Linked DNA regions of Ovis aries. The protein of the gene in region 2 binds, or shares a complex with, the protein of the main gene of each other region. Links are inferred from orthologs where the notes say so. Each region holds a gene or a part of one and is shown on either strand. Other genes may lie near its edges.

Region 1 (5,837 bases), on a different chromosome or scaffold from region 2:
TGAGCAGAGACTGAACCTGGGCCATGGCAGTGAAAGCCCCAAGTCCTAACCACTGGACTGCCTTTGAATTCCCTCAGCGTAACTTATTGTTGAAATAGGCCAAGTATGTACATGTTACAAAAGCCAAAAGATACAAAAGCACTCACAGAGTGAAAGTTATGTCCCTCCCATGCCCTGTCCCCTATCTTTCAGTTCCTCTCCCAGAAAATTTATCAGTTTCTTCTCTCTGTAATACTTTAGATATTCTGAGCAAGTATGTGTGCATGCTAAGTCGCTTCAGTCGTATTCAACTCTTTGTGACCCTATGGACTGTAGCCCGCCAGGCTCCTCTGTCCATGGGATTCTCCAGGCAAGAATACTGGTGTGGGTTGCCATTTCCTCCTCCAGAGGAAACTTCCTGACCCAGGGATTGAACCCAAGTCTCCAGCAGCTGCTGCGTTGCACGAAAATTCTTTACCACTGAGCCAGTAGGGAAGCCCTGAGCAAGTATAGTAGAACATCAACTTGGGACAGGGAGTTTTATCTGTTTTGTTTCCTGATATATCTCCAGCCTTTTAGAATGGTGTCTGGCACATGCAGGTGCTTACTGTATTGTGGTAAGTAAACACATAAGCAGTTGATGTATTCATTTCCACAAATAGCGCCCTTCTGAACATAAGTTCCACGAAGGGAAGGACTTTTTCCCTTTTCGGTTCATTGCTATGCCTGTGCTTGGGATCTTGGTCACTCAGTCATGTTTGACTCTTTGCAACCCCATGGAATATAACCTGCCAGGCTCCCTCGTCCATGGAATTTTTCCAGGCAAGACTATGGGAATGGGTTGCCATTTCCAAAGGAGTGAGGGACATATTGTCTAGTCCCTGATTTCACACACACACATCGGTAAATGCAGGTGGGCTTCATCTCTGCAGCCAGGCACACAGAGATGCCCAGGAAAAGCTCAATGAGAAAAAAATGGGAAACTAAAGAACTGGCTAGGACTTCCCTGGCGGTCCAGTGGTTAAAACTCTGTGCTTCCACTGCAGGGGGGATGGGGTTTGATCCCTGGTTGGGGAATTAAGATCCCGCATGGCTCAGCCAAAAAAGACTGGGACTCAACTTGAAAAGCAAGAATTAGCTTGGGCCTGCTGGTCGACCACAAGGAGGGTACTCCACCGACGGAGGCAGTGGAGGCTGCTGAGTGCTCCCAGTCTTCTAGGGCAAAGGGACCAGGGCCTCAATTCTGGGGCCTTATCAAGGCAGAAACCAATCCATTCTTTGTGGCAGGACCTAGAACATGGTCGGTTTCCCTGGCTCAGTGGTAAAGCATCCACCCGTCAGTGGGTCCTGGGTCGGGAAGAGCCCCTGGAGAAGGAAATCGCTACCCACTCCAGTATTCTTGTTTGGGAAATCAAAATCCCAAGGAGGAGCCCGGGGGCTACAGTCCTTGGGGTTGCAAGAGTCGGACACCACCTAGCGCCTAAACCACCGCCACCGCCTAGCACATAATAGGAACTTGCTTATTTGTTGGATGAACACATAGTGGGCGCTTAATGCCTGTTTGTTGTGTTGACCTTAGTAGGTGCTTCGTGGCTCCTTGCTGAATAAGTAAGGAAATTCCTTGCCCTCCTGCAATTCCAGGATCCCAGGCAGGGGCCAAGAGTATATCTGCAATCCAAGACAGTTATCTCAGGTTGAGGCCACCTGGGCAGGAGCGACTGGACAGTACGGGGCTGCGTGACGTCATGCGCTGGCCGGTTCTCACGGGTGGGGGCTGGGAGGGGGCAGGGCTGGAGGTGGGGGTGCGGACAAAGGGACCCTGCGCGCCTCCCCCACGCCCGCCCTCGCGCGCGCCCCGCTGAGCTGATCACATCTGGAATTCATTGCTGCTGCCGCCGGCCGGAAAGGAGGCGGAGACAGGGCGGGGCGAGTGGGGGCCAAGGCGGCTCTTCCCTCGGTGCCCCTGAGTCCCCAGTCCCCAGCCCCGGGACGCAGTGGAGCCCGGCGGGCAGTCCCAGCCCCTGCCGCGGCCGTCCCGGGGAACACAGGCGCCAAAGCCCCTCCGGCCCGGGCAAGGAGTCGGGTCGGCCTAGCCAGGTGAGCGTGCGTGGCGAGGGGGAGGCAGAAAGGGCGGGCCCCGGGCCCCGGAGGTCTCGGATCAGAGCTAGGAAAGCCCGCCAGGGGTCGGGGGCTCCCTGGGCGCGCATGCACTGCCCGTCCTCCGGCTGCACCCAGGGAGTGGTCATCGTGCGCCCTCTCCAAGATCCTAGGAGGCCCCATTGCCTTGGCCGCGAACCCCCAGACTGAGTTCGCCGCCTTCTCCAGCGGCAGGAAGTTGGCCGGGAGGAGAAGGCGGAATCCAAGCGCTTTCGGTCGGAGACTGGGAGGCAGGATGGCGTGCACCCCAGACCAGGGGTTTGGGGACTGTGTATGGGGGAGGGGAGGACGCCCCTCTTTGCTGACAACGGCTGGACGCGGGCGAAAGGTGCTGGCCGTCGCAGTACAGCCAAGCCAAGGGGCGGGGCCCCCGAGGAGGACAGATGCCCACCTCCTGCACTTCTGATCCTCTGCCTCAGTTTCCCTGAGTAGTTCATCTCTTCCAGTCCTCCCTCCCGCCCCCCGTGGGGTCGTGGCTTTGTTCTGGAAGGAAAGTGAACCTGAGACTGCGTGGCTTCGGCGCCTCTTCTTTCCCCTGGGGCCTGGGGATGGGGCGCTGGCGCGGGCACGCGTGGCGCGGACGCCGCGCGGTTCTGGGCCCAGACAAACGTGGGAACCTCGCCCACTTCTTCTGGCACGAATTGACTCACCGGGGATTTCCATCCCTTCACCAGACTCTTCCCTAGTCAGACACTCCAGGCGCCACGCGCTGAGCCCACGGTGCCCCGCGTGGCGCGACACGGGCGCGGCACTCGCGGCGCAGCTGTCGCTGACCCTCTCCCCGCCTCTCCCCAGTCCTCTAGGAAGATCGAGGCGGGGCACCGGGCTGGACGCACAGGCGTCCCCCACCCCCACTTGGAGACTTGGGGGTCCCCTGCTTGTGGCTGTCGCGGAAGAAAGGAGGCGCGGCCCCAGAGGCAGCCAGTGTGGATACCGTGCATTCCACCGCCAGATAAGGAGGCCGAGACTGCGGCCCGAGGGCGGGGGCGGGTTGTGCCGTGTCTCCAAGGAGACTCTGGGCTTCGCCTGGTGGGGGTGGCCTGCCAGCGGACCAGGGGTGTCTCCCGCGTCCCTTTACCGTTGTCTGAGCCTGGGCTGAGTTTAGGAGCCTCCACCCTCGGGGGCCCTCGTTCCCTTGTTCATTCATTCATCAGTTCGTCCATCTATCCATTCATCCATCCATCCCACACAATTTCTGAGTGCTTTCTAAGTATGCCAGGCATTCTTCCAGGGACTGAAGGATTTAGTTGCTGGCCTCTGACACACATTCAACCATGGAAGCTGACAAAAAACAAGAAATACAATGATAATTTCTGAAATTGGCAAGTGCTGTGAATATAATAAAAGATGCTGTGATAGGAGGGGCCTAGGGAAGGTGACTAGGATAGCCTAGTGATTAGAGGCCACTAAAACAGAAACCTGAAAGATAGGAAGGCCGTGGCAGGTGAAGAAATAGCAGAGTTAAAGCTCTGAGGTGGGCATGGGGCTGAACCGGGGAGAGGCCAGTGTGGTTCAGTGGAATGGCTCTGGGGGAGAGTGGGAGGAGGGGAGGTGGGCGGGGGCCACCTTGGATACTGGGGAACCATGGAAGAGTTTGGAGGTGAGGAGTGACATATTGAAGCTATAAATTTAAAAGCTCCCCCTGGCTGCTGCTTGGAGAATGGCAGTATAGGGGGGAATGGATGCATGCACGTGAGCTTGGTCGTGTCTGACTCTGTGATCCCATGGACTGTAGCCCGCCAGGGATTTCCTCTGTCCTTGGGATTTCCTAGGCAAGTATACTGGAGTGGATTGCCTTTTCTCCCTCCAGGGGATCTTCCCGACCCAGGGATTGAAATGCAGGCAGATTCTTTACCACCGAGCCACCTGGAAAATAGAGGGAAACTGAGCCCAGGGGTTTATCCCAGGGCAAGGGGCATGGGACCTGTGAATGCCCAGAGGAACAGTAACCACAGGGCATGCCTCCATAGAACTTGCGGGAGGGGCTCCTGGAAGCCACTGAGACTTCCTCCTGCCTTCCTCTCTTTTAATCTCCCCCTGAACAGTCTTGGTGTGTTTCACTTTCCTTCCCTCCAAACCCCATCGCTTGTCCCTCTTGCTTCAGGCCTGGCCATTCCCCAGTGCTGAGCCTAGTGACCTCTTACTGAGCATCTGGGAGGTGACTGCCTTGGTGAAGGTGAAGAGGACTCAGGCCCTGCGCTAGCCACGCCGGGAGCCTGATGCAGGGAGGGGAAGCAGGCCAGGCCTGTATTTGCCTCAGGGTGACTGTGCCCGCTCCAGCCTCCAGACCCTGGTTCCTCTTTCTGGGAATCGCCTTAGTGGAGAAGAAAGACGCATTCGTCTTCTCTAACTAACCACCCCTCCTTCTGAGGCTATAAGAAGTGAGGGTAGTCTCCCAAGGAAGAAGACGGCATTTTAGTCAGTCCCTGGGGTATGAGGACTGAAACCACTTCTTATTTATCTAGGAATCGGCCATAAATCTTTCTCTGGGCCGCCAGACAGGAGAGGGGTTTGAGGGGCGGTGCAGGGGGCACACCCTGGGCTTCTAGCCCACCAGCAAGGGTGCTTCCCAGACCTGCCACGGGCCCTCAATTCTCAATTATGATCCCCAGGGGGGGGCCAGTAGGCCAGGGCAGCCCGAGGGTGACTGGTACGGGTGACCCAGCGGTCAGGCTGTGGTTCAGACTCTCCCCGGGGACATCCACACAGTCTTAATGTCCTCGAGACGAAATGAACTGCAACCGCCTGGAAAGGACCCTCTCAGTAGCGCAAGCAATAGAGCGCCCCCACCTGGGCCCCCAATCAAATGTCGAGGATGCAAAGCTCAGGCCAATAGGCCTGAGTTGCTCAATACTCTGGGATTGAAAATGAACCAATCAGAGCGCGGGGCTGTTTCTGGCCTGTCCGTCGGTCTGGTAAGGCCCAAGACCTGGACCAAGCCCGCTACAATGGGCAGAGGGCATTGGGGCGCCTGGGCCCCGACCGGCAGGGGAACAAGAGGCCTCTGTGTGGCGATCTGGGCGGAGCGACAGTCCCTGGGGATGCGCACAAGCCTTTCTCTGTTCCCAAACTAGGACGGATGTTCTTTTGCCCAGGGGGAGCAGCTGCCTCTATCAGGCCGGGGGCCAGGGCGCCCCTCCGAGGGGGTGTCCGAGACTGAGATGGCTGGGCGACCCCGGAAGCCCCTCATCCTTCCCAGGCTCACTGAGAACCGGCCTAACCAGCCTTTTCTGGAACTGGTGCTCCTGGCATGCCCATGGTCCTTGCAAGGCATGTTTCCAGGGACTTGGGGAGGGCTGTTCCCGCACCCCGCCCCCCCCATTAACTAACTACTGGTCTGGAGCTTCCTCCTGGCCCCCGTGAAAGGCAGACTCTACACCAGTTCCTCTGAGACCACCTCCTGGCCCCCGCCCCAATTCCCAAGCTGGGGGAAGGCCATGGTATTGGCCTCTAACCCTCTCTGCCTACGCGCTGCTTCCAGCCCCCTCCCCCCACAGCTCAGTTTTCCTTGGGAGAGGGGTGACTCAGGCTTTCATGGAAGGGAATACCGTCCCCTCCTCTTCCCCGCGGGGCTGCACGCCCCCTCACCACTCACATGACTTCAGCCCAGCTGCCCCATCCTCCCAGCCAGGACCTCCCAGACGGGTCTCCTGTGACTCCCCCATCCCATCATCCCCTCCCAGCCTTCCCCACACCGGATG
Region 2 (5,774 bases):
AGGGATATATGAGTTGTTCACCCCTTTGGGCTATTCTGAATAGTGCTGCCATGAACATAGGTGTACAATTTTTCCTTTGAACACCTGTTTTCAATTCTTTGTGGGTATATACCTAGGAATGAAATTGCTGGGTCATATGGCAATCCTAAGTGTAACTTTCTGAGGAACCATCAAACCTCTAGCTCTCTCTTTTTTAGATTTTTTGAAAAATGTGTACCATTTCTTTTAAAGTCTTTGTTACAATGTTGTTTCTGATTCAGGCTTGGTTTTTTGGCCAAGAGGCATGTGGGATCCTAGCTTCCCGACCAGGGATTGAACCTGGGCCCGCTGCAGTGGGAGGTGAAGTTTTGACCAACAGACTGCCAGGGAAGTCCCTCCAGCGCATTTTAAAAGTAATCCCTTTATTTATCTATTCGATTTTGATTGCCCCTGGGTCTCCATCGCGGCGCACGGGCTTTTCTCCACCTTGCATTTCTCACTTTGAGGCTTCTCACTTCAGAGAATGGGGCGCAGGACCCCGTGTGCCCACTAGCTGTAGCACACGGGGCTCAGTTGCTCTGCGGCACGTGGGATCTTCCCAGACCAGGAACTGAACCCTGTGGCCCCTGCATCAGCAGGATTCTTATCTACTATACCACCAGCTCATTTTAACGCTAGCTCTTTCAAGGTGGCTTGACAACCAGACAGAAGCTATTGGACGACTGCAGTGTGACCCCAGGCAGGGCCCAAAGAGGTCTCTTTTTTTTTTCTGAAGCGCTGAGGCGGGCTGCAGGGTTTGATGAGTCAAGCTTGTTCAACGCGGTTACAGGCAGGGCTCTGGACACCTTCCTCTGCTGTTCTACATGTCACAGCATGAACTGGCAGGGCGGGAAAGCCTTCCTGCCTGAAGAGGGATCCTTGGTGCTTCAATTACACTGTGAGCACTCCCGGAAAAGGAAGAAAAAGGATGCCAACTATCTAACTGATAGGTTCCTCTCTTCCTGTTTTTGTGGCATTCAGATTAGCATTCGGAGTCCAAGCAGACACACTGCTTGGGGGCCAGCGCTATAGCCTGTCCTGGGCAGAGGTCTGTCCTTTCAAGGGTGGAGAACCAAGCTTCCCAAACAGCAGCTGAAGCTGCAGAGAGCTCTTCCAACCTGGGTGGACTTTTACTATCTATTTTGCCTAGAGGCACGGCCTAGTGATACTGGAGGGGAACCTACCCTACTTTGTGTAGGGCAGCTTGTCCACCCGACGGGCTTGGCCAGGACGGCAGGAGATAACCCTACCACAGGTATTGCTTACTGCAGCCAATTTACTGAGTCATGGGGCTCCTCCGCCATTAACCCAATCCGGTCAGCAAACTGATTAGCACTTATTTTTTGTCTAAACATGTTCTTGAGCCTCTCGGGGCACTGACTTTGCTACCTCGTTGCCTGACACACACACAAGCTTCTGAGCCCCGGAAGCCCCAGGCAAGGCTCTTGGAAGGAGCTGGACTGTCACAGAGACCAGCCCAGAGGGCTTTTTCCACTTGAAACTAGGGCGCGGAGAGAGAAGTTGGCTTCCGGGGTCCTTGCGAGGGGTCCCGCTGCCAGCCCAGGTGTCACTTGTGGCCCCGCAGCCCTGCAGGTGTCCGGGCCCGAGTCTTGGCCGGTCACATCCTCTGCAGTCCGGCAGGAAACCTAACCTCCGCCGGCTCCGGTCCTCGGTCTGTCTGCTTATCTGCTTCCTCTGGGGAACAGCCGCGTCGGTGTCCGGTGCGGGGGGATTTTCGGGCTGACCTCACCCGTGCAGACGTGGGCGTCAGCCCGCGTGCGGACCGCGTCCGGGAGGCATCCACAGCCCGTCTCGGTGCCTCCCCGGCCCGTCCTCCCCAAGCAGCGTCTTGGCAGGGTCTGGGCTGGGTGGGGGGGGGGTCACTCCGGTTCCGATCCCGGGCTCGGGAGGGCGGGGTGTCAAGGGACCCACTGGAAGAAAATGCACCGAAACCGCAAACGCCCGCTCTCTGTTTGAACAACTTCGGAGCCAAGGGCTTCGGCGGCCGGTGGCGGGCACTGGGAGCAAAGGGCAGACCTGGGGGCCGCGCTCCGGCCCCCTGGATGCCCGGAAGTAGCCGCGCGCCCCGGGGTGGGTGCGGCTCCCTCCAGGGAAGCAGGAGGCGCAGCCGAGGAGCGGGCCACGTGACCGCCGCGCCCCACCCGGGCGCCCCGCCCCGCCCCGCGCGCGCGCCCGGCGGAGCTCGCGGGCTCGCGAGAGAACGCGAGTCTGCGGGCGCGGCGTGCGTGCGCGTCCCCGCCGGGCGGCGGGCGCGCGCACGCCCCGGGGCCGCCGCCCCGCCGGGCCCGCCCTCCCGCCCTCCCTCCGCGGCGCGCCCGGCCCGCCCTGCCCGGCCCGCCCTGCGAGTCAGACCGCCGGCTCCCGCCCTCCGCCGGCGCGCCCGGGCCGCCGCGGCGCCCCCCCGCCCCGCCCTCGAGCCGCCGAGCCGGAGCCGGAGCCGCGCGCCGAGCGGCCGGAGAAGCCGCAGGGCCCCGCCGAGGCGGCAAGATGGCGGACTTCCTGCCGTCGCGGTCCGTGCTGTCCGTGTGCTTCCCGGGCTGCGTGCTGACGAGCGGCGAGGCCGAGCAGCAGCGCAAGTCCAAGGAGATCGACAAGTGCCTGTCGCGGGAGAAGACCTACGTGAAGCGCCTGGTGAAGATCCTGCTGCTGGGCGCGGGCGAGAGCGGCAAGTCCACTTTTCTCAAGCAGATGCGCATCATCCACGGGCAGGACTTCGACCAGCGCGCGCGCGAGGAGTTCCGCCCCACCATCTACAGCAACGTGATCAAAGGTGGGGGGCCGGGGAGCGGGGGGCCGCGGCGGCCGGGGGGCCCGGGCGGCGGCGCCGGGCACCGCCCTCCTCTCCGGAGCCCCCGGCCGGGCGCGCGGGAAGGGGGCGCGGCCCGGGCCCCCCCGCCACCCCGCCTCTGGCCTCGGCCGCCGCCGGAGGGAGGCACCCCGGGGTGCAGGCTGGCCTCTCCCCCGGGCGAGCCAGCCCACCCCGCGCCCGGGCGCTGCCCGCCCGGCCTCGCGCCCCGGGTGGCGGGTGGCCGAGTCACATGGGGTCGGGGCTACTCCCAGCTCCCGGGCCGCGGAGCTCCGGAACCTTGTGCCCGAGACTCTGGTCAAGGGCGAAGGGTGACAGGCTCCTGGCCCGTTGGGGGCACGGATGTGAAACTCGAGGGTGTCCTGTTTGCTCTGCTGCCGTCAGGAAAGCGCACCATGCAGTCGGCCTAAAAAAGTTTTAGCATCAGTGGTTTTTCGCCCCAGTGTCACGGTCGGGCAGGATGTGTGCCTGTCATCACCGAGCACCTTGCACCCTCCTCCTGGTGCTGACTGCGGTGGGGGGAGCGTCTCCTGCTTAAACGGGGTTGTGTGTGGGTACAGAGGTCTAGGGCCTGAGACCGTGCAGGCTGAGTCAATGAATCAGTGTCGGCTTGGGTCATAGGTTCTGCTGCTGTTCGTGGGTATTTTTAAAACTAGAGTTGATCTTTGTTCTCAAGTGAAAAACGCACAGGAATTTTAGTTCTGGGCTTTCAAACAAATGGGGGAGATTTTACTTTTGTCATTTGAGCTATAATTAGCACTCTTTTTAGTGTCCAGCTGTTTTCTACTTTATAAAAGGCATTTTGGCAGAATTCAGATACAGCGCCTGATTCTTCAGGTGCCTGAGGGTGCTCTCTGGCGTCTGGATAGCAGTTTATCTAAGGGTTGGTAATGTCAAGCCTTTCCAAGCAGCGTTTTTTTTAAGGGGGGATTTTGTTGAGGAAGTACTTAAGTTACTCTTTCGAGTCACTTTTTTTTTTTCCCCCCTCCCAGGATGGAGTGGAGGAAAACTGCTTGGGGTGCGGGGAATGGAGAGGGGGAGCTTTGTGGGGGTAACGATGAGGGAGGGGCAGGACATCAGGAGCTCACAGACCACAGCCAGCCCTGGGAGTTCTGCAGTAAGCTGTAAAAAGAGGCTGACTTTATCCTTTCTTCAGGTTTAGTACAAAATTAATCTAAGGTCTCTCTCAAGGCCCAAGACTCTCTGTAGTCAGCCCTTAACCGAGGATACCTTTGTATCTGATGCAGCTGATCGTAAGGGGTTCTGTTAATGAGTCAGTTCAGTTCAGTTCAGTTGCTCAGTCGTGTCCAACTCTTTGCGACCCCATGAATCCCCACACGCCAGGCCTCCCTGTCCATCACCAACTCCTGGAGTTCACTCAGACTCGCGTCCATCGAGTCAGTGATGCCATCCAGCCATCTCATCCTCTGTCGCCCCCTCTCCTCCTGCCCCCAACCCCTCCCAGCATGAGACCAGCTGTTGACTGAGAGCTAGGTAGATACCTGGCTCTTGTTTAACACCTGGTTCCTCTTGTACACTGGCTCCTAAGTGTGACCTACTTCGAGTGCTGATGAGATGAAGTCACTAGCCGTCTGCGTTTTCTGAGTTGATGTGATCAGAAAATTGACAGCCAAACGGTTTTTCAGTCATCGAAACAAATGACCTGACAGTCACGTGACTGTCAGCAGGGACTAAAGGTGACAGTGTGGTGTTAGGAATAATGGGTTTGGAATAGCCTCTGGGAGTTGAAATCTCTGCTTCCACATCTTTTGTGCGGTTGGTCTTCCTCCTTTTAGGGAAGCCTCACGCCACCCTGAGCCTCACCCCGATTGGAAGCTTGCGGGGGGAGAAGTGTCTGAGCTCTGAGCGAGGTCCTGGAAGCCGTGGGTTGGGCTGGGCAGGGTGCTCAGGGACCGGGAGAACACAGGGCGCTGAGTCTCCTCTTGGCGTCTCATAAAAGTCTCTGAGAGACTCAGAGCCTTGGTTGCAGATCTTCAGAGCCTGGACGTCAGGTCATGCCATGGAGTTTCTTCTTCCTTTGCTGGTCTTGGTTGTCTTGCGACTCCCTTTGCCCAGGAATTATTTTATTAATTAGAACACGTTAAAATCCTACAAAAGAAGCACTTGTGTTAATTGTGTTTGCTTTTCAAGGTTCTGATTTTATGACTGAACAATTGTGAGTTTTAATTTTTCTTTTTTTTGCGCTCTGAGAAGTTACTTCTGTTTTGATGTCGGTCTCCGTGTTTTGGAGCCGCTGGGCCTAGAGTACTCAAGAGGTTTAAGGAAAGAATACGAGATCGGATCTCTGAGAGTGTCTAATGACTCCCATCACACTTTCTTTTTTCTTAAACAAAGGTATGAGGGTGCTGGTAGATGCCCGAGAGAAACTCCACATTCCTTGGGGGGATAACTCAAACCAGCTCAATGGAGACAAGCTGATGGCATTCGATACCCGGACGCCCCTGACCGCCCAGGGAATTGTGGAAACGCAAGTTTTCTTACAGTACCTTCCTGCTATAAGAGCATTATGGGCAGACAGTGGCATACAGAATGCCTACGACCGGCGTCGCGAGTTTCAGCTGGTAAGAGATTTTTTTTTTAATGTTGTGGTTTTATTTTAACAGCATTTATTACCATCTGATTGTAACACACCTTTTTCACTGCCTTCCACAATATGATGTATGTATCCAAAATTTTAGCCTCAGAAATGTGGATAGTTTTCTAGATGAGCTTGATAAACTAACCAAGGTAAAAATAAGGCAGACCCCCAATGGGTTTGATGAAGCTGTTATATTGAGTAATTAGTTGGTCATTTTTCTTTTTCCAGGGTAAGATCATAATGAGCTTCTCAGGCATTTTCATCTAATTTTTTCTCCTTTTAAAAATAATTTCATCTCAGTTATAGCAGCAGTATTGATCTTTCTAAAAA
Region 3 (6,042 bases), on a different chromosome or scaffold from region 2:
TAAAGAAGTTGTGGCGTATGTAAACAGTGGAATGTTATTCAGTCATGAAAAAGAGCAAAATAATGGCATTTGCAGCAACATGGATGCAACAAGAGACTCTCATGCTAAATGAAGTAAGTCAGACAGAGAAAGACAAATACCATATGATATCACTTACATGTGGAATCTAAAATCAGACACACGTGAACTTACCTATGAAACAGAGTCACAGACACAGAGATCAGACTTGTGATTGTCAAGGCGGGGGGAGTGAGGGAAGGGATGGATTGGGAGTTGGGGGTTAGTACATGCAACCTATTACATACACAATGGATAAACAACAAGATCCATAGGAAACTATACTCAATATCCCGTGATAAACCATAATGGAAAAGAGTATGATAAAAAATATATATATAGACACATATACGTATGTATAACTGAATCACTTTCAAGTACGGCAGAAACTAACATGACATGGCAAATCAACTCTATGCCAATAAAATACATTTTAAAAAAATCAGTTCTTCAGGAATAATTTCTCATCCATACTTAATGTTTTGTTGATCCAGTTTGGTGAGAGGGGCAGAGAGGGAGGGGTATCAATATTCAGAAAGAAAGTTAATAAAAGCTTTCATTTTTCCTTTCCAGTTTTTCTTCCAGATTTTTCTATTCCATCCTTTCCCTGTTACTTACTCTCTGTGTCAGGAGAGGGAAGCCCTCACCCCTTGAATGTGTGGAATATGTCTCCAGGGTTCCACTGACTTCACTGGACAGAAATCTACACCACACAGAGGAAAACTGGTCCCTGCCAATCCCGTGCCAACCACGGTCCCCTCCTGTTTGGCCCGTGACACACCGAGTTCATTCCACAGCAGGACGCCCTGCTGTCACCCCTGCCCAGAAGTCTGCTTGCTTTCTTGCCGTGCATAACCAGCTCTGTCTTTCAAGCCTCGGTCCACAGGGCACACCCTCTGAGAGGCCTGCCCTGATCACCTTTTATCACCCACCATCCACTCTTTCTACCAACCGCCTTGTTTGTCTTCCCATGGCACTCACACTATAATTTGAAAGTTTTTGTTTGTTAGTATATTTGTTGTCTGTCTCCTCTATCAGACTCTTTGTGACTTGAGTGCAAAGACTGTTCTGTTTGTACCATATCCCAGTTATTTAAAACCAGGCCTGGTGTGTGTGTGTGTGTGTGTGTGTGTGTGTGTGTGTGTGTGTACGTACATGTATGTGTCAGAAATCTGGGTTTTTGAACTTGAACTCTCCCCATCCAGGTTTCATTGGCTATTGCTTCTTTTTAGTAACATGTCTGTGATTGTCAGTATTAGTATGATTTCTCTAAGGTAGTTAGTTGACCAACAGAAAAACATCTACACTAAATTAGGATGTGAGAGGAACAGTCTCTCTATGAAACCAAGGCCAGGTTCAAGCCGCTCCTTGAAGCTGAGAGCCTAGGATGCGAGTGGATGTGGGGAGATGTGGCCAAAGGCACAATGTGGGAACCTCCCTACAGCTCTCTTTCCTCCCTGACGGGGCTGGGGTCTCAGGACCGCTTTGTTCACTCTGCGTGAATTCCTGGCCAGACCCCTCCCCTCATTTCCCTCCGGGAAATCAGCGTGTGCTATGAGGCATGGGTTAGCAGTAGGGCTCACACAGCCTCCCTCTAGTGCGACGCTAGATGATTTATTTATTCCCAAGTCGTTCAGCATTTTGGCCAAGGAAGGGGAGCCGGCGAAAAGTTACCACCTTCACGTCATTTTCAGCAGAAGACTGAACGTGACTGTGCATATAAAAACAAACAGCAGCACAACCTGGAAGGGTCTGGGGAAGGGGCGGCAGGTGCCATGTCGGGCTGCAAAGGTGCCAAGAAGAAGCCCCTGAAGTAGCCCCAGAAGAAGCCCAGGAACGGATGAGGAAGATAAGACATCCAAGCCGAAAAGGAGGAGGGGCAGAAGAAAGCCAAGGAACTAAAAGCGAAGGCTGCCAGGGAAATGCCCCTGGCCACAGGTGGAATAAAGAAATCTGGCGAAAAATCTGCTGGCCCTGGTGCCTGAGGCAATGACGATCCTTAGTCCCATTTCTGCTTAAACATCTGGACTCCCTGCCATAATGTCTGTTGCCACCTATAGCTAGGAGGAAGTGTTGTCTTGGGACCTATTACAAATTTAAGGATAAACTTTTGTAAAAAAAAAGAAGAAGAAGAAGAAGAAAAAGAAGAAGCGGCAAGCCCTGTGAGACCTGCAGGTAAAGACAGGGAGATGATAGGATGCCCCAGCGCCCACAGTGAAGGCCGCATCACTCCAACAGGGACAGACCCCCACCCCACGTCCACCTTCACCCAGCACCACGCTGGTGCTCCCACCAGACCGGGGTCCATCTCCTGGGACCTGGATTCACACCGTGGGGATGCTGCGTGCACCATCTCTGGCGGGTTGTGGAGGCAGCAGGGCTGCTCCAGACATAATCACGGCCAAAGGCACGCTCACCCCCAGGTCAGTGTTGCTCTCATGGCTCCCAGGCAAAGATTTGGGGATGTTAGTGCGAGGTCCCCTCCACCGTGCGTGTACCAGCCAAGCAGCAAATGGGAACAAGGGCCAGTAAGTGCACTTCCACCATGGTCCCACAGGCCTCCTTCTCTGGGGAGGAGCAAGGAAAAGTTTCTCGCTTCTTCCGTCCTCCCCAAGGAAAGCTTCACGGTGATGCCTCCAGACAGGACTCACGATGGCAAAGGGAAAGCGGGGGTGGGCGAGGGGTTTCATCGGAGGGGCTGGAGCAGTCAAGCTCCCATCGGAGAGATGAGGACAAAAGAGGGCAGGGACAAAAGGATGGGGACAAAAGCTGCTCTAAGGCAGCTCAAGTGAATCTGCGCTGGAGACGCACAACCTGAGTCAAGGACAGAAGATGCTTCACCTGCAAACATCCCATTTTCTGAATCACAAGTGTTCAGATGCCCCCAAAGCGAGAGGATCGGGGCACAGAGAGACCTGCTTCTCCAAGTCAGAGGTGGAGGATGATGAGTGACCCAGGGGACAAGGTGTCAGGACAGCTGGTGGGGCCAGCGGAGCCCAAGAAGGGCTCCTTCCCCAACAGCCTCAGAGACAAGCAAACTGCCTCCAGACCCCGGACTGGGCAGGGAGAACAGGTAGTGAGCAGAAGAGGAGGGAAGCTGCCTTACCTGGATGCACTTGTGACCTGGCATGGGCCCCACGCACCTGCACACAAAACATCACACTGTAAGACACAAGGAACCTCCCAGCAGAAATCTGTTCACGTCTTGGCGAGCACCGCCTGGGGACATTACCTGGAAATCACAATAAAATAACAACAGCCAGGAATGCCAGCAGCAAAGAGGCAGCAGCTTCTTCATGGTTTTTTCAGAGGCGAAAATATGATCCAAGTGGAATTCCTGAGGGTCTGTGACAAAGAATTGCCTTTAACTTTCCCTTCTTTGGGAAAGGGACATTGTCACAGTTTCCAGAAAGAAGAACACCATCTGTTTAGCTAGAGTTTGTGAACTGCAGCGTGAAGGCAGAGTCGTGGAGAGTTAATAGGTGTTTCTTGCCTGTCTCCAAACTTGAGAGTCTTTGGTGATCAATAAACACATTGGAGCGACCAACCGGCCCTGGGATGAGGGGAGGAGAAACAGCTTCCGATCCAAACTCCTGAGAAGCGATCCTGGGCTGGGACTGCAGTGGCGAGGCTCAGGGGGCAAGCGGGGGTCCCTCACGGTTTTCTTTTTCTGTCAAGAGCCGTCATTTGTCTCCATTCAGGTCCGGAGTTGGACATTGCCCTTTTTCCTGGAAGTGGGAGGAACCGCGTCTGGAGCTCCCGGGGTTTTCGGGCCAGCGCGTCGCTACTAAGTTCTGGTGTGACTCAGGCTTACACCTCCGTCTGTCCCCCAGCTCGGCGGCGGCGCGGCGGCGCTCGGGGTGGAGAAAGTGAGTGATGTAAGGCTCTCTCCTCAAACTTTGTTCAGCTCCGCTCCTCTGTTTATATCCCACGGCTGCTGGATCCTTCCTGGGTCCTAACACCGGTCTGTTAAGAAGTGGGAATTATTTTCAGGATCTGCGGTTCTGAGGCAGAGCAGACAGAGCAAGGTGTGGACATGCCTTAGCTGCCTTCCCTTAACACCTTCAAAGTCAGTGTAAATATTAATAAATACAAAACGTACAACAGACAATAAACTCTGTTTAGAGCTGAGTCTTCTTTGCCCAAAGAAAAAAGTAAGGTGATCTAGGGATAGGAAAAAAAAAAAAAAAAAGAAACACCCACACCCATTCCCCAGCACATGCCCTCCACAGGATGCTGGCCACTTTTCTCTTTAACCTTTTCAGAGATGATGAAACTGTTTACAAGGTGCACTGGGCCATTACACCAAACCCCACATCTCCCCCACAGCCACAGCATCCAGGGACCCTTAGCCAGCCTCATCTAACTTTACTAGAAACTAAAATTTTCATCTATGTTGCATACATGTCCCCCCCACACACACACACCGTTAAGTAACACAGTTAACCCACACAAACACCAGCCAGTGTCTCATGCGCTGCAGGCAGATTGCTTACTGTCTGAGCCATCAGGGATGCCCCTAACTAACACACACTTGATTAACTAACACACACTTGATTAACACACACTTGATTAACTAACACACACTTGATTAACTTACCTCCCTGCACCCTCTCCAACATTTAACTAGCTGCGTGTCCTTAGGCAAGCTACTGAACCTCTCTGTTTCAAATTCCTCATCTGTAAAATGGAGGTAGTAGTTTCAACTCCAAAGAGCTGTAACAAGAAATGAGATGATGCATACAAGGCTTTCAAAGCAGTGCTTGGGAAGTACGTAGCACTCCATAAATGCTCACTGTTTTTTGCAAGCAAAAAAAAAAAAAAAAACAAAACATATCACTCAATAAATGTTAGCTGTGATTATTATTATAAAGTAGAAAATAACACTCATTAAATGTTAACTAATATTATTAGCTCCTTCGTCCTGACTTTAAATGGGAACAGAGTCCAAGTACTTCCTAAAGAGGATAAGAAGATGACCTCCAGTCTCCATGGGGGAGAACCAAAAAAAGTGATGTCAAAACTGTGAAGTGATTATTTTTAACTTGCGCCTGTAGCCCACAACCTCTCAGATGATCTGACAGCCTGAACTTCCCTGCACAGCGGCAGCAGGCTTCCAGAAAATTCCTGAGCACGTTTCTCCATCTCTTTGCACTTGAAAAAAATGGCAGATTCCACTGTCGTAACTGCACCTTTATCCTGTAGCCTAGGCCAAGGGCCTCAGCGGAAACTTACAGCCTTTCTCTCTCCATTTCATCTGCTTTCTCTCCCTCCCACTGCCTCCCTCTGGAAGAAAGAGAAAGATGCAAGAGGAGGCGGAGCCAATGCAAACTTTCCTTAGTCCACGTCTTAATTTACGAAACATTAGACAGACTGCGGATTAAATGGACCTGTCCCATCACTGAGACTGAACCACGCTGGCTGTGTTCTTTTCTTAACCATAAAAATCACCATCAAAAAAAAAAAAAAAAATCACCATCAACCCAGAGATTGTGATACTGAGTGAAGAAAGTCAGACATATATCACATGATATTACTTACATGTGGAACCTAAAAAAATGGTACAAATGAACGTATTTACAAAACGAAAATAGAGTGACAGATGTAGACAACAACCTTATGGTTACTGGGTAGAAAGGCGGGGGGATGAATTGGGAGACTGGGACTGACGTATATCCACTACTGTATATAAAACAGATAACCAATAAGGACCTACTGTATAGCACAAGGAACTCTACTCAATACTCTGTGATGACCTACATGGGGAAAGAATCTAAAGAAGAGTGGATATGTGTATATGTACAACTGATTTACTTTACAGTACAGCAGAAATCAACACAACATTGTGAGCCAACTATACTCCAATAAACATTTTTTTTTTAATGACCATCAGATAACAGGAGGCATCTCAGTACAACAGCAGCAATAAAGGCTGGGTAGAAATCAAAGTCAGCGGAACCTGCCCTCACTCCCCATGGGCTTGCT
Region 4 (6,022 bases), on a different chromosome or scaffold from region 2:
CACAGATCGGTCGTTCTTAACGAAAAAGAATGTTTTTCTCTCTTCCCTCCCTGTACTCTTGTTTTTTCTCAAGTCTTTCTGGAGTTCTCAGCCCTCTTTGAGATTCTGCTGAAAAACCCGCAGACTCTCACCACCAGAAGGCAAGTGACCTCGGGGGTCTTGTGTGCCCTTCCATCACCTGACTCCCTTGCCCAGCACTCTCTCCCCCAACCCTATACCCCCGCTCCCTCCTGGTCCCTGCTGGTCCCTCCCAGAGGGCCAAGGAAGAGAGATAAGTTGGGAATGTGGAGCGATAGTGGGGTGACAGAAAGGACTGTCAGACCCCTGACCCCACTTTGTGCAGTCTCAGCTACTCAAGCCAGGCCCCAGGAGCAACTTCTCAGTCCAGCAAGGCTGAAGGCTTGGGGGTAGGGGGTTGAAAGAGCAAGAGGGAGAGGTAATACAGCCCCCACACAGCTGTCACTCACCAGCCTTGTCCTAGAAGCCTCCAGGTCACCTCTCTCACTCCCCACTTCCCTCCTCTGAAGGCTCCAGCTCCCCTGTCAGCCCCCCGGGGACCAGTCAGCTCCGGTCGGTCTGCTCATTAGAGGAACGAAATGTGATCACAGAGCCTCGCTCCCCACCTGGCGCCCTGGCGGCTGGCTGGCGAGAACCGAGGACAGTCAGGCCACCGTGACCACTCCACTGGCCTCAGTTTCCCCATTTCTACCGAAGGTATCCCCATCCCCCCACATATGTCCCCCACACCACCCAGAAGGGACACCAAGGAGGGTCCTTGACTCTACTCCTCTGATGTTCTAGATTCCCAAGGCTCTCAGATCCTCAGATTCTATTGTTAGTCCAGGCCATGGTTTACTGTTCTATTATTATAACCTTTTTGAACTTTACCTTCCTTCCATTCTATTATTATTATTATGGCGGCTTTCCACACCCCTACCCTTCTAGGTTTCCAATATCCCAGGAAATTCACATTCCAGGATTCTCAAGTTCTATTGTTAGAATGCTCTATGATTAAAAAAAAAAAATTGTACAACTTTCATAATCTATTATTAAACTCTCAGTGATCATTATCTTTGCCCAGCAAACACGAATCTGCATTTCCCCTTTCTTTTTTACAGATATGGTGAACCCCACTTCCTTTTTACCTCTTCTGGTTTTGTGTTTTTTTTTTTTTTTTTTTCCTTTTAACATTCCAGCAGCCTGAAGTTCTAAAATTGTGCAAAATTGTAAAATACTAAGAATTCAATTTTGGCGGGGGGTGGGTAGTCACCACATTTACCTGGCCCCTAAATTCTCTCCTCCTGGTGGGGACACTAAGAGCCCAGGCTGCCTCTCTATACCTGGCCCAGAAACTTTGTCTCATCCCATCCCACTGGATCACATACTGGCTGAGGCTGAGTTATTATTTGTCTAGACACAAACCAAATTATAGGCCCTGTCCTGCAGGAGCAGTGGGCTTCATGGGGAGGGTCAGGAGACAGAGTCAGGCGGGAGTTAATCTCTGCCCCTTCTCCTCACTTCCCTTCTCTTCCCTCCTTTTCTGAAATTCCACCCCTTCCACTCCAACCGCCTCTTATCCCCTCTCCCTCTCCACCACCGTGGCTTTAGAAATATTTTCTCTCCTCTGCTTCTAAAAATGCTCCCTCCTGGGTTCCAGCCATTCACACTCACCCTGGCATTCTTCCCTCTTCCCTGCGAAGACCTCCTTCCCCACTTTAATCTGAGGTTGTGGCAGCAAAAGAAGCCAGTACTTTGGATTTGGGCTTCAGTGGAACCGGAGTCCCAAACCAGCCTGAAACTGACTCACCTTGGGGACTTCTACACTTGGGCCTCAGTTTCCCCATCTCTGAAATGGGGGGTTTGGTCTAGCTGGCTCTGATAGCACTTTTGAGCTCTCGACTGCGAACACTGAAAACTGCCAATATTCCAAAGCCCATCTTTTTGGACTGAAGGATTCAAATACCCCAAGACCTTGAACTTGAAGGTTTGAGCTCTCCCAATCCTCCTTTTGGATCATTCTCACATACTTGGGTCCTTTCATGCAAAGACTTCACATTCAAAACTGATGATACTCTAATTTAAAAATTAATTTAAAAAAAGAGTTCACATTCAAAACTTCTTGATGCTATGATTTTGGAGCTCCCCCACCCCCTCAAAAAAAACAAAACAAAACAAAACACCATATCAATCTCTCTCATTTTCTCCTACTGAAACCCGGCCCAGAGAGGACAACCACCCCATCCTCACCCCAAACCTGAAGTCAAGCTCATCCACAGAGACAGAGTTGGGGGGCCCTTGGTGAATTCTTCCCCAGTGGTTTATCGGTAAAGAATCTGCCTGCAGTGCAGGAGAAGCAGATGTGGGTTTGATCCCTGGAGGGGAGGATCTCCTGGAGAAGAAAATGGCAACCCACTCCAGTATTCTTGCCTGGAAAATCCCATGAACAGTGGAGCCTGGCGGGCGGGGACAGTCCACGGGGTCGCAGAGTTGAAGACAACTGAGCGTGCAGGGACACACTGGTGAGTTCAGGAGAAGTGTGGCTGGTGGACGGCCCTGGTCGGGGGTGATGAGGGGTGTGGCCCCCATCATCTTCATCTCTGCCCTCCAGAAAATCCCCCAGCTCTCATCCCATCTGAGTATATATGACATTCATCCCACAGTCGATGCCTCACAGAAATTCCAGAGCTGTTCTTCAGGGTGGTTGAAGGGGGGCGGGGGGGGGGGCGGGCGAGGGGCGGGGATGAAGCCGAGACAGGAAGGAGTTAATGGGTGACCCAGCCAAATCCTGGACTGGAGGAAGTTGGGGAGGAAGTTTACCCCCTCCCCCAGCCAGGAATTCCTGAAATTGGAGGGTGGGGTGGGTGCGACCTCCAGAGCAGCGGGGTGACTCTGTTAAGGGGGAGCCCAGGTCACAGCGGTACTAAATCCACCTGCCCCAGGTGGTAATCCTATTGCCCTCTACCCGACTCCCAGGAAGACCCTCAGCCCAGAGGAAAGTCGGAGAAGGATGGCGACGGAGTGAAGTTGCCAGAACCGAGTCTAAGATACGTGGAGACAGAGACAGAGTCATACAGAGAGATAGCGAGACAGGAAGAAAAAAGGCAAAGAGATGCCCAGAAACGGGGAGACGGAGGCAGAGAGATCCGTATAGACAGAGTTCATCAAGACCCAGGGATACAGGCAAACGGAGTGGAAGAGACGGAGGGGCAGAGATAAAAGATATCGACACAGAGACATCGAGATGGCTAAGGAGAGACACGGGCAGAGGGAGCGGGACCGCAGATCCAGAGAGACATCAGAGACCGACGGAGAGACGGAGACAGACCCAGAGACAAAGTCAGTCGCGGAGACGCAAGGAGAGCCAGCCCCAGAGAGGGGCGGGGACCGAGGCCACGCGGGAGACTGAGGCAGCGGACGGACGCGGGGACGCAGAGCCCGCGACGCGCGCGGGGAGGAGCGGTCGCTGGCGGCCGCGGGACCTGCACGGACCCGGGAGGAACCGGCGCCTACCTGCGCGTGGCGGCTGGACGGGGCGGGCGGCGCCTCTCCCTGCGGCTGGGGGATCCGGGCTCCGCGGCGGCGCAGGGACCCGGCGGTGACTCCTCCCGGCCCCGGGCCAGAGCCACCAGCCGAGGCCCCGCCCCGCCCCGACCGGGCCCGCCCCCGTTAACCCCTCCATTGTCGCTCCCCCTTAACCCCTTCACCCCACTAAAGCCTTCCAGCTCTGGAGAAACCTCACCTGCTGGTGAAACACCCCCGAGTCCTTCAACGTCCCCAGCCTGGAAGCCTCCATCTCATAAATTCCTTTGCTTACCCTCCCTCCAACCCCCGCACTCCAACTAGATCAAGCCTTAAGCTATGGGGAGGTGGGGGACGGGGGTTTAGGGAGACCCCAGATCTAAGTCATTCATTAACTTTTTGGTCATTGCACTCCCACTTCCCCAACGGAGAGAATGAGGGGTCTGTTAGGTCCCCATGCCCATGGTCAGGGCCACCCCTGGAAGGAATCTCTCTTGGGTTTTCCAGCTCCAGCCGTGCCTCTTCGCCAGACTTAGGCTGGTGACCTCTGTGTGCCTCCGTTTCCTCTTCTGATCATGTGGTCTTTCATAGTCCTTTTATCAAGAGGACGTCATACTATAAAGTCTGTAAAACATGACTCCCCCCCCCCCACGACCTCCTTTCTCCCTGTTTTATTTGCTTTTCCCCATAGAAAGGGTCCTAACAGTCTGTGTATTCCACTTTTTTCGTTGTTGTTTTTCTAAATATCTGCCTTCCCACTAGGAGGAGTGTCATTTTTCTGTTGGGTTACTTTACTACAGATACATGTGCAATACACGTTGCTTTCAAGGAGTAAATACATGAATGTTAAGTGCTGCAAAAATATTTGCTGATTTTTATGTTATCATCATGTCCTTCATAAACTGATCCATTCTTAGGCAAAGCACTTTGGACAGACCTGGGATGTAACACTCAAAAGTGACAACTAATAAAAAATAATTTCAAAATTCTCTAAATTTTTTTTTTAGAAAAAGTGACAGCTAGAACTTCCTTGGTGGTCCAGCGGCTAAGACTCTGAGCTCCCAATGCAGGGAGCCTGGGTTCGATCTCTGGTCAGGGAACTAGATCCCATAATTCGCAACTAAGACCTGGCACAGTGTGGGTTGCGGGGGAGGGGGGGGGAGTGACAGCTATTGGGCTTGAAAATTCTTTTTTGTTTATTTATTATTCTTTTATTATAATTATAATATTTATTGGGGCTTCCTCAGTGGCTCAGCTGGTAAAGAACCCATCTGCCAATGCCAGAGATGCAAGAGACAAGGGTTTGATCCCTGGGTGGGGAAGATCCCCTGCAGAAGGAAATAGTAACTCACTCCGGTATTCTTGCCTGGAAAATTCCATGGACAGGGGAGGCTGGCAGGCTACAGCCCATGGGGTCGCAGACTCAGACATGACTGAGCATGCATGTGTGAGCACACACACACACGCACACACACTCTCTCTCTCTCTCTCTCACACACACACACACACACAATGATAATTACTATTTTGGCTGCTCTGGGTCTCCACTGTGGCATGAGGGCTTCTCTAGTTGAGGTGCGCTGACTTGGTTGCCTCATGGCACGTGGGATCCTAGTTCCCTGACCAGGCATGGAACCTGCTTCCCCTGCACTGGAAGGATGATTTTTAACAACTGGACCACCGGGGAAATCCCTGTTTATTTTGAGAATAAAAATGCCGGGATCTTAAGGGAGAAGCCCAATAAGTTGTCCAAATTAAAACATAAACATTTCCATCACCAGCGACCACTGTTTTGTTTGGGTTTTTTGCTCCCTTCCAGGGCACTCACTCTCTACTTTACCCCCAGAGACACTCCATGCCTTTTTCTTTTTTTTTTTTTTTTTTTTTTTTTACTGGAAATGAGTGTTGCCTGTTCTAGAACTTCATAGAAATGAAATGAAACAGTTCTAAAAAAAAAATACTCCTTTCCTCTCGGGGCTCTGGAGGCAAATAGAAAGTAAGACTTAACCAAATACCCAAGTGACCTGCAATGCACACAGGAATAAAAGCTTTTTCCTTCCACCCTCCCTCAAGGGGACAGGCTGAGAGACATACCAATGAAAGTGTCATGAAGAATTTAGCCCCTCTCCACAAATAACCCCATGTAAAGCTTTCAGACAAGTCCTCCCATCAGCTCCTTGGCCACCCCAAGGTCCTTCTAAAGAGAAACTCTGAGATGCCCTGATGGGTGAGGGTCCCTTTCTCTCATGGACTCACCCTAAGTTTATAATGTGATTCAGTTAGGACCCTGGCAGGAAACAGGTAGCCATTCAGAGAGCTTGTGCACTGAATAGCTTCAGTAGCACCAACTCTTTGCCACCCTGTGGGCTGTAACCTGGCAGACTCCTCTGTCCATGGGATTGCCATTCTCTTCTCTGGGGGATTTTCCTGACTCAGAGACTGAATCCAGGTCTCCCACACTGCAGGCAGGTTCTTTACCGTCTGAGCCACAAGAGGAGCTATA
Region 5 (5,774 bases), on a different chromosome or scaffold from region 2:
ACCAGCATGCTCAAAACCACAAACCATTTTTGAGAGAAATAAAGATCTGAGAAACGAAGAGCCGCACCGTGCTCCTGGGTGGAGGGGCCCGCGCTCCCTGTGGCCGTCTGCACAGCCAGACTGATTGAGCAAGTGTCGTGGTGTGAGCTTTGCTTCCGAGGAACCGCAGCTCAGCCCGCTCCCTCGACCCTCACCCCTCGCCGGCTGCCAGCAGGATGCCCTGCTGTCTCCCTTGGAAGAATGTAGCAGCCTTCTGGCCAGGCCCTCCCTCCAGTCCTTCCTGAGGCTTCAACCAGACAAACACCTGTGCCTGTCAAACAGGCACACACCTGGCCCTGCTCAAAACTGGAGAGCAAGCTCCTCCCTCAGCCTGAGGCCTCACCTCCACCCTTCTCTCCATGCGCCCCAGGCCACTCCCCGCAGGCATGGAGAGCTCCAGGCACTGAGGGTGCCTCCCAGCCCTGCCCTGCAGCTGGCTACCCCAGGCAAGTCGAAGACCACCCCCGCCCCGCCGCCATCCCACCCCCCACCCCCGCGTCGTCTGTCACCCCGCCGCCAGGCCTCTCTGGGTGACCTGTGTGCAGACCCTGTGTCATCTGTTAGATCACTGTCAAGCCTTTCTGGTGACCTTGCGAGACCCCTGTCATCTGTCACCTCACTGCCAGGCCTCTGGTGACCTTGCGCACACCGTCCTGCCTGCCTGGACCTGCCCAAGGTCTCATCCTCACGAGCTCACAGAGCGGCTTCAGAATGAACGGGTCAGGGAAGCAAGGTGGTGGACAGAGCTGTGCTGATGCCAGCGGGTCCCCTCCACGGGGCTAGGGCTGAGGGCTGAGCCCACAGGACATACACATGCCATGCGTCAGTGCCCCAGCGTCACTCCTGCCCAGGCTCCGGACCCTGCAGGGGACCCTCAGGGGTCTGCCCAACCCAGTGCTGGAGCCTCGCGAGCAGCCTCACCTCCTGGGTGGCTTGTGAAGGACCAGGAGTCCCAGGCACCTGAGGCTGGGCCCTGGCCTCCCTTTGTACAGGGGATGGGGGAGTTGGGACATTGTGCACAGGCGTGCTCCTGAGCAAACCTCCACAGCCAGTGTCTGAGGGACCCCGACCATGCCGGCTCCCACGCGATTCTCAGGGCCGCGCTGTCCAGGCCCAGCAGCCTGCACCTGCTGCGAATCAGGGGAACGGCCTGAAGGTCACTGCACAGACCAGACCCGCCCCGGGCTGCGGCCAGAACCCACGGCCGCCTCTGGCTCCCCTGTGAGGAGAGGGCCCTGGGAGGGGAGGGATAGGACCCGGGGCTGCAGAGCTGAGCACTCCGCGAACTGGCGGGCCCTGCCTGCCTACAAACCTTGTCCTCAAAGCTAGAAAAGACTGCGTCTGATGGAGCAACCATGTCCAAGGCCGAGTGTTGGGGTCATAAAAGCCCAGAGGATCCTCGGGAACAAAGTGACTTCTCCCTTCATTTCAAAAGGCAGTAAAAGCTAGGATGAATCTGTTGAATATTAGGGAAGAAAAAGAAATTCAGTAGAACCAGATGAGGCAGACATGGGGCACTGAGCAGGGCATGCTTGTGAATGGAGAGAGAGAGAGAGACAGACAGACAGGAAAAAGGGCCTGGAGCGTCTGAGAGCCTCAGCCCTGGCCTGGCTGGCCCCGTCTTGCCTCCTGCCCAGGACGTCCTGCCCCGACACCTGCTTTCGGGGAGCTAGGGTCTTGATACTCACCCTAGGAGCTCTGCCTCCCCCAAGGCTGACCTCGCCTGGGGAGGAAGGGAGGGCGGGGAGAGAGGAGGTCCAGGGTCGAGACAGGCCGACTCGGCTCCCACGGAGGAGGTGCTGCCCACTGAGTCCGGAGCAGGAAGTGAAGACCACAAGGAAACTCAGGCAGGCATTCGGGGCAAAGTCTGCTGGGAAAGCCGGGAAAGGAGGTGCCTAGACCCACCCACCTGGGTCAGCCAGGAGACGTGCCCAGGAGGGAGGCGGTCTTCACCCACCTGCATGCCCACAGAACGGGCACCCCAGGTGGGCCCCAGCCCTGGCCACAGCCCTGGGCTCCGTGCAGTGCCCTCAGCTGGGCGCGGCTCCCGTGGAGCCCAGAGCGGGGCCTGGCTCTCTGTCAGTCAGTGTGGTGGAGGGCGGGGGCAGCAGTGGGCCTGCCCGGGGCCCAGGCCCTCCCAGAGCCTGGGGTCCTGCCTTCTGCAGCCCCGTTCTGCCCGGGAACTCTGCGCTGGGCCTGGGGGCGGGAATCAGATGTGACGTTAGACGGGCCTGAGAATGCTAATGCATCAGGACCTCCAGCTGGGCAGGAGGGGATGGGTTCAGACGGTGAGGACCTCGGGCAGCAGGTCCCTGTCCCTCGTCAGCAGGCCTGGAGCTACCCCAGCAGACACATCCAGACCAAGGACTCCAGGGCAAAGCAAAGGGGAAGAGTCTGGACACGGGACGGGCCAGAGCCTGCCCACACTTTCAGCAAGGACCCTGGAGCCCAGAGAACATGAACTGCTCTCTGGCGGCTCGGCTAGGAGGTGGCTGCCCCGACTGGAACCGGCCTGCCCGGCACGGAGGCTGGCCTGGGGAAAGGCCCCTCAGCTCAGCGGGCCGGTGCCTCTTGAGAAGGGATGGCACAACAGCTGGGGCAGGCCCAGGGGCTGACGGCGGGAGGGGGCCTGGTGTGAGGGGCACGGAGACTGCCCCCGACGTCTCCCTGCCTCTCCATGCCCAGACACTGCTTCCTCTGGCTCAGGGCACAAGGCTGGTACCAGCTGCCCCAGGCACTGGCTGCCTTTCCATCTGCGGTGGCTGTGGTCCTGCCCTTGACCCGACCCTGCCGTGGGACCCGGACGGCCCGAGTGGAACTAAGGGCAACCATGGGCCACCCTGCCAGCTCCTGGAAAAAAGTTGGCAGCGTTCCACCCTCCTTCTGGGGTTCTGGCGCCTTGCCTGGGGGTGAAGGGCTGATGGTGATGGGCGGTGGGCAGCATCTTCCTTTTCAGGCTTTTTGGAAGCGGGCTGATCCGCAGGGCCCCTGCCTGAAGCCCCAGCTCTCTGTTCTCACTGAAGTCACCAGCCTCCCAGGACCAAGTGGGGAAGGGACTGCTGCTAAGTCTCTTAAATGACAGAGCTGAGACGCGGTGGCTGGCTCCAGGGCGCCCCCAGAGGCCCCCGACGGCCGGGGGGGGGGGGGAGACAGGCAGCCGGGGCTGGCCCGAGGGAGCAGCGTGCAGCAGGGGCTGGCTCGCAGTGACGCTGGTCATCCGGGCGGGGCCGTCGGGCAGGGGTGAGCTGGCCGACCGCAGCGGCCTCTGAGGCTGGGGGAACCCGCGGGTCTGGAGAGGTTCCCTGCCCCCCACCCCCTGGGCCTCTCCCCCGCTGACTCAGGACGAGTTCTTCTTTGAGGCTGCGGCAGCTGTAAACAGCACACCCTGTGGAGGCTTAGAGAGAAGTTGCGCCCCAGGGAAGCTCTCAGCCGATGCCGGACCAAGAGAAAACCCCGCAGGCCTGGGGCTTAACCACAGACGCTGACGTCTCCAACTCTGGGAGCTGGACGTCCGTGGTCGAGGCCCAGGCCAGTCTGGCTCCCGGCGAAGGCCCCATCCTGGCTTGCAGGCGGCCACTTCTGTGTGCTCACATGAAGCTCTGCTCCTTCTTCTGAGGATGCCTGAGGTTAACACGTGCCCGGGAGACCTGCGTTTCAGCCCCACCTGGGCCCCCGGGTGTACACGTCAGATCTTCCCTTGTAAACATCCTGCACCCCAAACTTGTCTCAGCGTCAGCCTCTGTGGTCTGAGAAGAGGTGATACCGTGTGGTCTGGAGCTGGGTCACCCACTGGCCCTGGGGGCAGGGAGGTGGTGGTCCTGGCATGGGGGGGTCTCGTCCTGTCCTGGCGCCGTTTGACCGGGTGGATCGGGGAGGGGCTGGGGGACAGTGGGTTTGAGATGCAGGAACAGGAGCAGCTGCAGGGGATGGGCCAGGAGGCTGGGGCCAGGGGTGAGGCCGCCGCTGGCCTCGAGGGGAGCAGCCCCAGAGCAGGGCGGGAGCAGGCCAGGGCCTGCTGACTTGCAGAGGGGGTCGGGCCCCAGAGGAAGGCTGCCCCCCCCAATGAGTGTGCACGACAGACTCCCCACCTGCTGCCACCACCAGGCCCGCAGACCCTCGCTCTGTGGCTGTGCTCAGGGAGGGGTGGGGATGGCCAGGCCGCAGGCACTCAGGCCTGCAGCTGACACTGCCCCCGAGCTGCAGCGGGACACAGCGAGCCGCTGACCATGGACCCCTGCCAAGACTGCTCACGGTGTGCGGTGGGGTCACTTCCTGGTCTCCAAGCGTGAAACTGGGATGGCCTCGTGCAGACATCCAGCTCCGTCTCTGAGGTTGGAGGGCAGGCAGGAAGGCCAAGGGTGAGACTGACGCCTCTGCCCCGCCCCCCAGACGACAAATCACAGACCGCACCTTGGGGAGGGTGGGGACGGGGACCCCCTCGAGGCGCTGAAGCTGCGGGATGGTCCCCTCAGGGGCAGTGGTCCCACCCTATCTCCCCCTGACTCAGAATCGGGGTTTCCAGAGCATGCAGCCTGCTCCCAGGGAGCCGCAGGCTAGTGGTGCGGCCTCGAGGGTGCAAGTCAGGAACGGGTGGGAAGACCTCCCGCCAGGACCAGAGGCCCTGCAGCCCCTCCCAGGAAATGACGTTGTAACTCGGGACAAGGAGCCCAACAGGGCAGGCACCCCGACCACGGTGACAACGCGGTGCGGAGTCGGGGGACGCGTGGGGACAGGAGACATGCCAGGCCAAGGTCAGGGCCCCCACTCCAAAGGGGTTAGGGGTTTGGGGGCCCGGGGTTGAGGCCTGCAGGGACACCCCCGCCGAGTCACGAGCAGAGGGCTGCAGCCTGCAGCTCCGACACGGCCACTGGGCACTGGGCAGCGTCCACCCCTGAGCGCCACTGGCCGGGAGACAGGAGACTGGACACGGTCGGCGGGGGGGACCTGTGTGGATGGAAACCCTCCAGCTCCCGCCCAAGACCTGCCCTGCGCCCACCTTCTCACCACCCACTACCTCCTCCCCTCAGCAGCCCTGCCCGGCTCCGCATCACCCCCCGAGTATCAGTGGCTGGTGTGAGCCCCCGCCTGCTCCTGCCGGCCACCTGAACCCGCTGGACACTGCTCGGTGCTCGTGTTTATTTATAAACTGGATCCTAAAAACGTTTCTAACAAATAGTTCAAACAAGGTGTGTCCCGACGCGCTCCGTCCGCTGTATGGCTGTTTCCCGGGCAGTGGAGAGACCACGTGGAGAATTCCGGGGGGCTCAGCCACCAGGTCCCTGGTGCCCGCCTGGGCTCTTCCCGCGGCTCCTGCTAGACCGCAGGGCTACTGCTCCTGGGACACGCGCAGGCCGGCCGCCGTGGGTCACCAGAGCCCGCACACAGGATCAGCCGCTCAGGCTTTCATCACCGCCATGAAGGAGGCCTGCGGATGGAGGGCGCGAGGGCTGGGAGGCGCTGCCCCGGCTGGCGGGAGACGACCAGCCTCCTCACCTACTGCGGGGCTGCCACCACCCCGAGAATCGCTGCCTGGGGCTCCCGGGGGGGACGAGAGCCCCTTCTGTCCGAGGGCCCAGCCTAGCCTGTGGGGTGGCTGCTGGGAGGGTCTGGGAGGCAGCTAAGACCCCAGGGCACTGGGAGAGCCCTCCCCTCTGCACCCAACACGCACCTCCCGGAGGGGCTGCCCCAGCATCTCCTGGCTGTGAATGGAGCGCCTGCAGGAGAGGATAGCACTG

The links.
Region 1: the proteins of GNA13 (region 2) and S1PR2 are in contact, whole or in part, in a cryo-EM structure (PDB 7T6B), measured with the Homo sapiens proteins. The link is inferred for Ovis aries from reciprocal best matches to the Homo sapiens genes GNA13 and S1PR2. Residues at the interface, in NP_006563.2 of Homo sapiens: Arg47, Val216, Phe359, Lys363, Asp364, Ile366, Leu367, His368, Asp369, Asn370, Leu371, Gln373, Leu374, Met375, Leu376, Gln377; in NP_004221.3 of Homo sapiens: Ser66, Met68, Tyr69, Leu72, Arg130, Ala133, Ile134, Lys136, Val137, Lys138, Leu139, Tyr140, Tyr209, Ile212, Val216, Ser219, Gln227, Thr228, Leu231, Leu232, Val235, Tyr288.
Region 3: the proteins of GNA13 (region 2) and ADGRD1 are in contact, whole or in part, in a cryo-EM structure (PDB 9V0U), measured with the Homo sapiens proteins. The link is inferred for Ovis aries from reciprocal best matches to the Homo sapiens genes GNA13 and ADGRD1. Residues at the interface, in NP_006563.2 of Homo sapiens: Val49, Val216, Phe218, Phe359, Val362, Lys363, Asp364, Ile366, Leu367, His368, Asn370, Leu371, Gln373, Leu374, Met375; in NP_942122.2 of Homo sapiens: Asn599, Arg601, Leu657, Met660, Val661, Ile662, Val664, Phe665, Ser667, Val737, Ile738, Ile741, Ala761, Val764, Asn810.
Region 4: the proteins of GNA13 (region 2) and GPR4 are in contact, whole or in part, in a cryo-EM structure (PDB 9JHP), measured with the Homo sapiens proteins. The link is inferred for Ovis aries from reciprocal best matches to the Homo sapiens genes GNA13 and GPR4. Residues at the interface, in NP_006563.2 of Homo sapiens: Arg47, Pro341, Tyr343, Phe359, Lys363, Asp364, Ile366, Leu367, His368, Asn370, Leu371, Lys372, Gln373, Leu374, Met375, Leu376, Gln377; in NP_005273.1 of Homo sapiens: Gln45, Asn50, Arg115, Ala118, Val119, Ala120, Pro122, Leu123, Ala126, Ile204, Val208, Ser211, Val212, Ser213, Thr214, Glu218, Lys221, Ile222, Leu225, Asn290, Glu291, Gly292, Ala293.
Region 5: the proteins of GNA13 (region 2) and GPR35 are in contact, whole or in part, in a cryo-EM structure (PDB 8H8J), measured with the Homo sapiens proteins. The link is inferred for Ovis aries from reciprocal best matches to the Homo sapiens genes GNA13 and GPR35. Residues at the interface, in NP_006563.2 of Homo sapiens: Lys46, Arg47, Leu48, Val49, Lys214, Asn215, Val216, Phe218, Arg331, Gln337, Gln338, Lys340, Pro341, Leu342, Tyr343, Phe359, Arg360, Asp361, Lys363, Asp364, Ile366, Leu367, His368, Asn370, Leu371, Lys372, Gln373, Leu374, Met375, Leu376; in NP_005292.2 of Homo sapiens: Phe45, Gln51, Thr53, Thr55, Met59, Asp113, Arg114, Ala117, Val118, Pro121, Leu122, Arg123, Arg125, Arg128, Ala197, Leu198, Arg201, Pro202, Thr204, Asp205, Gly207, Gln208, Ala211, Ala215, Met218, Val219, Ala280, Lys281, Glu282.

Annotation. Positions count from the first base shown.
Region 1 is NC_056058.1:12,607,754-12,613,590, reverse strand, and holds the start of S1PR2 (sphingosine 1-phosphate receptor 2), read left to right. Parts: upstream 1-1,944; 5' UTR 1,945-2,076; intron 2,077-5,837. UniProt on the Homo sapiens protein: Receptor for the lysosphingolipid sphingosine 1-phosphate (S1P). S1P is a bioactive lysophospholipid that elicits diverse physiological effects on most types of cells and tissues.
Region 2 is NC_056064.1:61,129,407-61,135,180, reverse strand, and holds the start of GNA13 (guanine nucleotide-binding protein subunit alpha-13), read left to right. Parts: upstream 1-2,296; 5' UTR 2,297-2,526; coding exon 2,527-2,809; intron 2,810-5,200; coding exon 5,201-5,427; intron 5,428-5,774. UniProt on the Homo sapiens protein: Guanine nucleotide-binding proteins (G proteins) are involved as modulators or transducers in various transmembrane signaling systems.
Region 3 is NC_056070.1:46,263,866-46,269,907, forward strand, and holds the start of ADGRD1 (adhesion G-protein coupled receptor D1), read right to left. Parts: upstream 3,952-6,042; 5' UTR 3,356-3,951; coding exon 3,290-3,355; intron 3,201-3,289; coding exon 3,164-3,200; intron 2,043-3,163; exon of another isoform or gene 1,803-2,042; intron 1-1,802. UniProt on the Homo sapiens protein: Adhesion G-protein coupled receptor (aGPCR) for androgen hormone 5alpha-dihydrotestosterone (5alpha-DHT), also named 17beta-hydroxy-5alpha-androstan-3-one, the most potent hormone among androgens. Also activated by methenolone drug.
Region 4 is NC_056067.1:52,983,039-52,989,060, forward strand, and holds the start of GPR4 (G-protein coupled receptor 4), read right to left. Parts: upstream 3,598-6,022; 5' UTR 3,511-3,597; intron 1-3,510. UniProt on the Homo sapiens protein: Proton-sensing G-protein coupled receptor activated by extracellular pH, which is required to monitor pH changes and generate adaptive reactions. Activated by an optimal pH of 6.8-7.2.
Region 5 is NC_056054.1:1,009,303-1,015,076, forward strand, and holds the start of GPR35 (G-protein coupled receptor 35), read right to left. Parts: upstream 3,653-5,774; 5' UTR 1,728-3,652; intron 1-1,727. Other genes in the region: CAPN10 (calpain-10), read right to left, coding at 5,435-5,464, 5,708-5,753. UniProt on the Homo sapiens protein: G-protein coupled receptor that binds to several ligands including the tryptophan metabolite kynurenic acid (KYNA), lysophosphatidic acid (LPA) or 5-hydroxyindoleacetic acid (5-HIAA) with high affinity, leading to rapid and transient activation of numerous intracellular signaling pathways.